Linked DNA regions of Sus scrofa. The protein of the gene in region 1 purifies or fractionates together with the protein of each later gene. This does not show direct contact. Links are inferred from orthologs where the notes say so. Each region holds a gene or a part of one and is shown on either strand. Other genes may lie near its edges. The genes, in order: TBC1D4 and YWHAE.

Region 1 (3,812 bases):
TTGTCTTTTACACCTATAACATAGCTTGTACCCAATTATTTTAATAACTGATCTAGTAAATTATTAGGTCTATGATGTTTCTTTAACTGTCTCTCTTGTGTGACAGAATACACTGGGGTATTCTCATCTGAATATACATCAATGAGTCTCTGGACCTTTTTTTTTTTCTCTCTAGAAAACTCTCTTTTCCTCATGACAATTCACACTCTTTCAAATTATATCTTCAGACCCTTTATAAGGTTGGCTTTCTGCAGTCGTTTAAAAAAAATTATTTAAGAATCAAGGAGTTCCCGTTGTGGCTCAGTGGTCAACAAATCTGACTAGGAACCATGAGGTTGCGGGTTCGATCCCTGCCCTTGCTCAGTGGGTTTAGGATCTGGCATTGCCGTGAGCTGTGGTGTAGGTTGCAGAGGCGACTCAGATCCCGTGTTGCTGTGGCTGTGGTGTAGGCCGGCAGCTACAGCTCCGATTAGACCCCTAGCTTGGGAACCTCCATATGCCAAGGGAGCGGCCCAAGAAATGGCAAAAAGACAAAAAAAAAAAAAAAAAGAATCAAGCTAAGGCAAACGCTGGTGATGCTAAGAGTAATCTATTCTTATTTCCCCACCAACTTTCCCTGACACTCCTCTAAGTGCTTCTTTCTCCTCCTCTCCCTGCTCCCTTTTTTCTTACACTCCATGTCTGCCTCTCACCCCTTCACTACTCTCCTTTGTTTGCTCTCTTTGTCCACTACCGGCTCTGCTTCCCAGGGGGTAAGACAGAAAAGTTGGATGCTTGCAGACTGAGGAACTGGGAGGAGCTGGCCACCCGGCCGCTTGCGTCTAGTAAAGGAGGGGGAAACACCCCGAGAGCTCGCGGCCAGGGCAGCACCTGGAACAGCATCGTTCTGTTCTTCTCCGAATCCGAGGGCTGGACGTGGCTGGGCGCGCTGGCGTGCCTCCTCCGCGGCTGGGGCTTCTGGCTGTTCTCGTGAACTTTCCTCTGCAGGACACCCGTGACGCTGCTGCACCGGGACCGGAACTCCTGCTGTTCATCAAAGGCAGAATCTTCCAAAATCCGCTCGGGGAAGCAGATGCGAGAGCTGGCCGGTCCAGGCTGGCTGGGAGCGGAGGAAAAGACCGGGTGGGTGTCGGCGACGCCGTCCCCTTCCTCGGACAGCGCGTCCGCGAGGGGAGCGGGCGCCTCGGCCACCAGTGCCGCCGAGTCCTCGCCCGCATCCGGGGGGCGGGGCTCGCCCTGGACCCTCAGGCGCTGCTGCTCGTGCAGGCTGAACTTCTCAATGCAGTCGTCGATGAGGCTGGACGGGGCCTTCTTGTGGGTCACCGTCACCTTGCCGCAGTACAGGACCTCGAACTTCTGCGAGTTGTAAAAGGCATCCTCGTTGTCTTTGCTGGGCTTGGCATCCTCTTTCATGGCCGCTTTCGATAACTGCCTTATGCTGCTGATGACATCCGGAACCTGGAAAAGAATTCCAAATCCTCACTTCAGTGGAGTATTTAGGGATCATTTATGTTTACCTAGACCTGTTATTATCACACAGATTGCATTCTCATACCAAATGACAAAATGCAGAGAGGAATGGACCCTACATAACATAAAGTGTAAACTTAAATTATACTACCAGATATATATGATTTAGGGATCAGACTGAAATTTTATGATATCAGCTTTAAACTTTTCCCTTTTAAATGTAATCATTTCCCGAAAACAAAATCATAAGACTACATAGGCCACAGCAATCTTTAGTAAATCATCATATATCCTTTGAGTACTTTTAAAAGTTATTATAAGGAGTCAAAAGGTTAAAAATTAAATTAAAAATAAAGTGTAACACTGAGGTACCAACCACGACTGAGATAAATAAATTATTACGAGCCTCAGCTGAAAGGAACCCAAAGTTTCAACAATGAGGGTAAAATTAACTTTCTCGATGAAAAGATTAAGATCCAGACACCCCCCCCCCCCAGCATTAGCCATCAGGGAAGATGCAAATTAAAACCATAGGAAGATGTGATTTACACACCTGTTACAATGCTAACATCAAAAAGGCCAATGCCCACCAGGATACAGAGCAACTGGAACCCTCAGCCATTGTACGCAGAAATGTAAAAACAGCACAACCACCTTAGGAGGCTGGCAGTTGCTAAGGAGTTAAACCTAGATCTATCTCATGACCCAGTCATTCCACTCCTAGAGATTGAGCTGAAAGTCTTTAAAAACATATGTCCACAGAAAGGCTTATACACAGATATTCATAGAAGCCTTAGTCACAATACCTCCACAAGTGAAAACTCACTAATCACCAAGGAAACGCAAAGAAAACCACAATGAAGGATCACCCTATACCTGTTAGGATGATTATCATCAAAAAGACAAAAGAAAGTGAGTGCTGGGGAGGAAGGGGGAGGGGAGAAAACCCCTGTGCGCTGTTGGTAGAAATATAAATAGATGCAGTCACCGTGGAAAACAGTATGGAGGTTCCTAAAATACTGAAAATAGAACTACCATATGATCCAGCAATCCCACTTCAAAAGAAATAAAATCACTCTCTTAAAGAGCTCCCCGAACCTCCATGTTCATCATAGCATTCTTCACAATAGCCAAGACATGGACACAAGTGAAGTCAGCCGAAGTGTCCAGTAAAAGATGAATGGATTTTTTAAAAATGTGATAAATATTATTTAGCCAAAAAAAAAGGAAATCCTGCCATTTGCAACAAAATGGACGGATCTAGAGGGCATTATGCTAAGTGAAATAAGTCAGATGAGAAAGGAAAATACTGTATGATCTCACTGTTATGTGGAATCTTAAAAAATAAAAAAAATAGGAGTTCCCATCATGGCTCAGCAGAAACGAATCTGACTGGCATCCATGAGGACACAGGTTCAATCTCTGGCCTTGCTCAGTGGGTTAAGGACCCAGCATTGCTGTGAGCTGTGGTGTAGGTCACAGACACGGCTTGGATCTGGCATTGCTGTGGCTGTGGCATAGGCCAGAGGCTACGGCTCTGATTCCATCCCTAGCTTGGGAACCTCCATATGCCGCAGGTGTTGCCCTTAAAAAATAAAAGGACCAAAAAATAAAAAATAATAAAATATTTTAAAAATTAAGAAAAAATACAAGCTCATAGATGAAGAGAATAGACTGGCCGTTGCCAGAGGCAGGAGAGGAAGGAATGGGTGAAGGTGGTCAAAAGGTACAAACTTGCAGTTACAAGTAAGTTCTGGGGATGTAAGGTACAGCATGGTGACGAGAGTGTTATAATACTATACCGTATATTCAGAAGTTGCTAAGAGAGTGGATCTTAAACATTCCCATCACAAGAAAAAAAAAATCCATAACCATGTGATGCCAGTGAATCTTTATGTGAGGAGAGTGATGTTAACTCAATTTCTGGTAATCATCTTGCAATATACACACGTATCAACTCATCATGTTGTACCCCTTGAACTAAATACAATGCTCTATGTCAATTATATCTTGATAAAACTGAAGAAAAAATGAACAGATAAGCCAAAGGCAGTACACTCACACAAAATGGAATACTGGAGTTCCTGTCATGACTCAACAGTTAATGAACCCGACTAGTATCTGAGGACAAGGGTTCGATCCCTGGCCTCCGCTCAGTGGGTTAAGGATCCGGCATTGCCTTGAGCTGTGGTGTAGGTCGCAGACCCTGCTCAGATCTGGCGTTGCTGTGGCATAGGGATCCAATTGGATCCCTAGCCTCGGAACCTCCCTATGCCGAGGGTGTGGCCCTAAAAAGACAAAAAGACCAAAAAAATTAAAAAAAAAAAAAATGGAATACTACT
Region 2 (4,517 bases), on another chromosome or scaffold:
CTAAGGTTTGTGTCTGTCCTCTTCTACCTCAATTGATCCTCTAGCTCCTTCCATTGCAGCGTCCCTACAGTTTGGAATGTTAGTCCCCCTTTTCCAATCCCATGGATATTACTCCTACTTGGGCATTCTTTTTTTTTTTTTTTTTTTTGCCATTTATCGGGCCGCTTCCAGCGGCATATGGAGATTCCCAGGCTAGGGGTCCAATCGGAGCTGTAGCTGCCGGCCTATGCCAGAGCCACAGCAACTCGGGATCCGAGCCGCGTCTGCGACCTACACCACAGATCACTCCAATGCCGGATCCTTAACCCACTGGGCAAGGTCAGGGATGGAACCCGAAACCTCATGGTTCCTAGTCGGATTCCTTAACCACTGAGCCACGACGGGAACTCCTACTTGGGCAGCCTTTGAGAACCTTATAACCAACTGTGATAAAAGGAACTCGTCTTTCTCCGCATTCCATCTGAAAATTTTCCTAGCATTCTTATTTTTTTTGTTAATGGTACCATTTAGTCTCTTAGTGACTAGGTAGGGAAGATAGAAGGTCAATTTAATCCCCCCCCCCCACATCTGATTAACTACAAACTCTTCGTAGTTTCTCTCTTAGCACTATCTCCATTTGTCCTTTCCTATTTTCATTGTGGTCATATTACCTTTTGCCTGTATTATTGTAATAGCCTGATCATTTATTCTGCTCTTTAATCACTGCTATACAATAATCTTTTTAGAGAATAACGATGGTGTCATCCACCATGAAAAATCATCAAAAAATAATTTCCTTGTGGCCACTGAATAAGGCGCAAACTTCCCAGCATGCCATCCAAGCTTCTTCATAACTTGGTTCCAACCTTTTAATACACATTTACCGCAGACACTACCAAACAGCTTATATTCTAATTACCTGAACTTCAGTCTTGCAACACATACTGTACGAATACAAGATGTTAGGAATCCACTGGGAAGCCAAACATCAGGTCGTTTCCCTTTCCTGCCTCCTGATCGCAATGTGATCTTGCTCCTACTCTCCTGCACCTTAGGTGCTCCAGACCAGGATCCCCTAACAACTTCCCTGTACCGATCCATGGTGGGCCCAAGGGGAAAAAGAAGGCTTAAGGAGAAGTAAAGAAAGATTGCGAAGTAAGAAGCTGAAGTGTGAAGTCCTCGTTCCGCATTTGGCTACAGAAGAGCCCAACTCTTTACCCTGGGGTTAAAAGGGTCTGAGTAAGATCCAGGACTGCCTTTACCATTACCAAAATCGTTACTGCCGCTAGTTTCTCTGCCCGTAGTCCAGCTCTTTCGTTCACTCTCTCGCCTGGCTTCCCTCACTTCCTTGGGGAGCTTTCCCACTATGCAGTCGCAGTTCCCGCTTCCAACCGCCCCTAAGCCCACGGAGGAGGGGCGTCTAGTAGGTTCCAGCCTCTTCGGGCGCTGAGCTCCCAGACCCGCCCCCCCGCGCCAGTTGCCAGGGAGCGGTTGCCATAGAGCTGAGCAGTTGTCCGCGTGCGCAGGCGGAAGTCCCGGATTGAGGCGCCGCCATTTTTGCTGCCCGGTCGCGGAGCGAGAGGCTGAGAGAGTCGGAGACGCTATCCGCTTCCATCCGTCGCGCAGACCCTGCCGGAGCCGCTGCCGCAATGGATGATCGGGAGGATCTGGTGTACCAGGCGAAGCTGGCCGAGCAGGCTGAGCGATATGACGGTGAGTTGGGGGGGGAACGGGGGGCTGGAATTCTAGGACCCTCTGCCGCCGCCCACAGAGACCAGGACCAGGAGACAAAATGGCGGCATCGTCTCCTAGCCTGGCCCGGGGAGGTGGATTTGGGAAGCAGGCAATGGCCTGTAGGCTTTCAGAGCCGCAGGAGGCTCCAGACTCAGGATTTTGACTCCTTCGGCGTTCTCAGCTGCAGACACTCGGGAGCCAGGAGGCCGGGGCGTTAGGGTGGAGGAGTTGGTTGTAAAATGGCGGCTGGGGGGGAGGGCGAGTCCCGGGGCGGGGGAGGGGGAGGAGATGGCGGGTGCTGTCTCCCAGCGAGCAATCCCCAGGGGAGCCTCGGGGCAGTTCTTGGGACGTGGTGAACAATTGGGTGGCGTGACGAGGGAAGAAACACCCGCCACATGGGGGAGAGTGGCGACCGGGAGCGCGGGCGCCTTTCAGGGAAATATGGCGGGTGGGGGCGGTGGCTTTTCCCCAGAGGCCCAATGTGGGGCGGCGGCTGTGTAGTCTCACAAAGGAGAACCCTTGCGAGCGGAGGGCTCCTTTGGGTTTGGGGTGGGGGGCAGTCTCGGATGAGGGTGGGGAGAGCGAGGGGAGAGTGGGAATCACTGCAGTTCATCCTTGGGCGGAGGCCAGCCGAGATGCTACGTTCGGATTTCCTTCCCGTAGACCAGCACACCTTGTAGTGGGGTTTTTTAGGCTTTCCGTTCAACCTCGCCTTGTTCTGGGGAGGTCTAGAAAAATCTCTCTCACGCTCCCTTTCCTCAAACTTAACCTGCAGAGTTCGAAGTTCCTGGTAATCATTTTCTGGCTTCATAAGCTGTGGGTTCTGGTGGATAGATAGAACATTGAACAGGAAACAAGGAGATGATGAATTTTAGTTCCTCTCCTATTCCCGTGCCTCAATCTATCAGTATTTAAAAATGACGACTTTCCTGTTTACACGCGGCATTACGACAAATGGAAAGACCTGTTGGAAAATCAAGTTTTTTCAAATAACGTTTAGTAACTGTATTTTAGTTGCCTTCCTTGGCTTGGAATGCGTGATCGTACTTAACCTATCCCAAAGCACTCAGCAGAGATTTGGGTTTTTGAATTAAGACCGTAAGGAATCCCAGTAGATCTTATTTTCTTTTCTCCGTTTTAAGTAAATGGTTTCATGCACAGATTTGAGCAGTTCTTTGTTCCTTGCTCCTTTTCCCCTAAAGGCTCTGTAGTCATTTTTCAGAACTTCTTCGAAATGGCCACTGTGTCTTTTTAGTCGGTTCTAGGCTGCTTTTTTTATTGCCCCTCTCGTTGTGGGTCTCCTGCCCCCGCCCATTTTGGATCTAGGTATGTGAATTACTCCCACATCTTTTAAACTGGCATTATCATAACAAAAAATCCTATGTATGTTTTTTGTGGTTTTTATACTTTTGTGGCGTAAGACGGGGTTGGAATCAAGTGTCAATGAATAGATTTTTCTTCATGAAGCCACTTTTTTCCCCAAAATGTCGTGTGGAGACCTTGCTTTCCTTGAATGCCTGTTTGGTCATGTGAATAGTCTCAGGGCTGGTCCTGGCGTATCTTCATTAGGAGTCAGGAATTTGAAAATTACTAGAAAAGACCTCGAACTCAAATTTAGGAAGGTTACTACTTCTATTTTGTAAATCCTTCAATTGCTATTTGTATTGAACAAGATTCCTGTGGAAAGGGGGAGGGGAAAAGATGGGGAAGTACAGCTCAAGGTCAGTTTTGTCTTTATTTCACTGTTGAAAAGCGAACTAATGTAGGTGTGCTTGGAATGGAAGTTTTTCTCTTCTCCCCCCCTCCTGTCCCAAATAGGTTCCTCTCTTAATACACCAATGCCCTTAGGGAGGAAACTTGAAATTATATCGGAATGCTTTCTGTTCTTTAGGGATTTATAGGCTCTGGCTGTGATCACCAAAGAGGACGTGGAGGGAGCTTTTTTTTTTTTTTTTAAGAACTTGTTTTAAAAAGTGGTTTGGAAGTTCATGATTGTAGCTTTCACGTAAGTGACAGTTTAGTGATAATAATGTATTGGTTTTGAGTGTTTGAGGATTTTTGACCAAAGGCCTTATTATTTAGCACAGGATCCGTATTCTTAAGGTTGTTTAAACGTTAGGAGTGTCCTTCAGAATCTAAAGGGAGGTAGGGAATATAGGATCTACCAGTTTGGAGAGAATGTCCGTGACTGTTGGGTACAAGACAGAGAGGGATTCATTGGAAAGGGAGAAGAGGAAGACACTCCTTAGGAATCAGCCTCTACCTGTGACCACTCCTTTATTGGATATAATAATTCAGTTTTGTTTCTGGTGACAAAAAGTGATTTTATAGTTGTAGTTAGCAAATAATTTATCAGGCATGGGGAAAGTGAAGAGTGCATTTGAATGACTTGGCTTGGTGTAGTTGGATATAAATGTTGGCTTTTCTTCTTGTTCCTGTAGTACCTTTGTCTTTTATTTTGCATGTTATGTTGAATCTATTAAACTTTTTTAGTAGCATCATTGAACTCTGACCTGGGGAATTGGAATCAATTGATATGGATTATTTAATGGTACTGGAGGATGAGCTAAGCTGTGTTCAGGAAAAGGACAATTTTGGGTTGCAGATAGGAAGTAAGTTTGGGGCTAGGACTGTTAATTTTAAAGATTAAATCATGTAACAGGCTGAGGAATTTCTATCATTCATAGCCAAGTTAAGCTCATCACCTTTTAATATTCCTGGGCCAAGTCTTAACTTACCCGGCATATATGAACCACATTAGTACAGAAAAGTGGGAAATAGGGAAAAAAAATAAGTACTTTTAC

What was found.
Region 2: the proteins of TBC1D4 (region 1) and YWHAE purify together in Homo sapiens (affinity purification with mass spectrometry; 3 studies listed by BioGRID and IntAct, with this or other methods). This does not show direct contact. The link is inferred for Sus scrofa from reciprocal best matches to the Homo sapiens genes TBC1D4 and YWHAE.

Annotation. Positions count from the first base shown.
Region 1 is NC_010453.5:47,627,380-47,631,191, forward strand, and holds part of TBC1D4 (TBC1 domain family member 4), read right to left. Parts: intron 1,459-3,812; coding exon 871-1,458; intron 1-870.
Region 2 is NC_010454.4:47,642,288-47,646,804, reverse strand, and holds the start of YWHAE (14-3-3 protein epsilon), read left to right. Parts: upstream 1-1,477; 5' UTR 1,478-1,628; coding exon 1,629-1,692; intron 1,693-4,517. UniProt on the Homo sapiens protein: Adapter protein implicated in the regulation of a large spectrum of both general and specialized signaling pathways. Binds to a large number of partners, usually by recognition of a phosphoserine or phosphothreonine motif.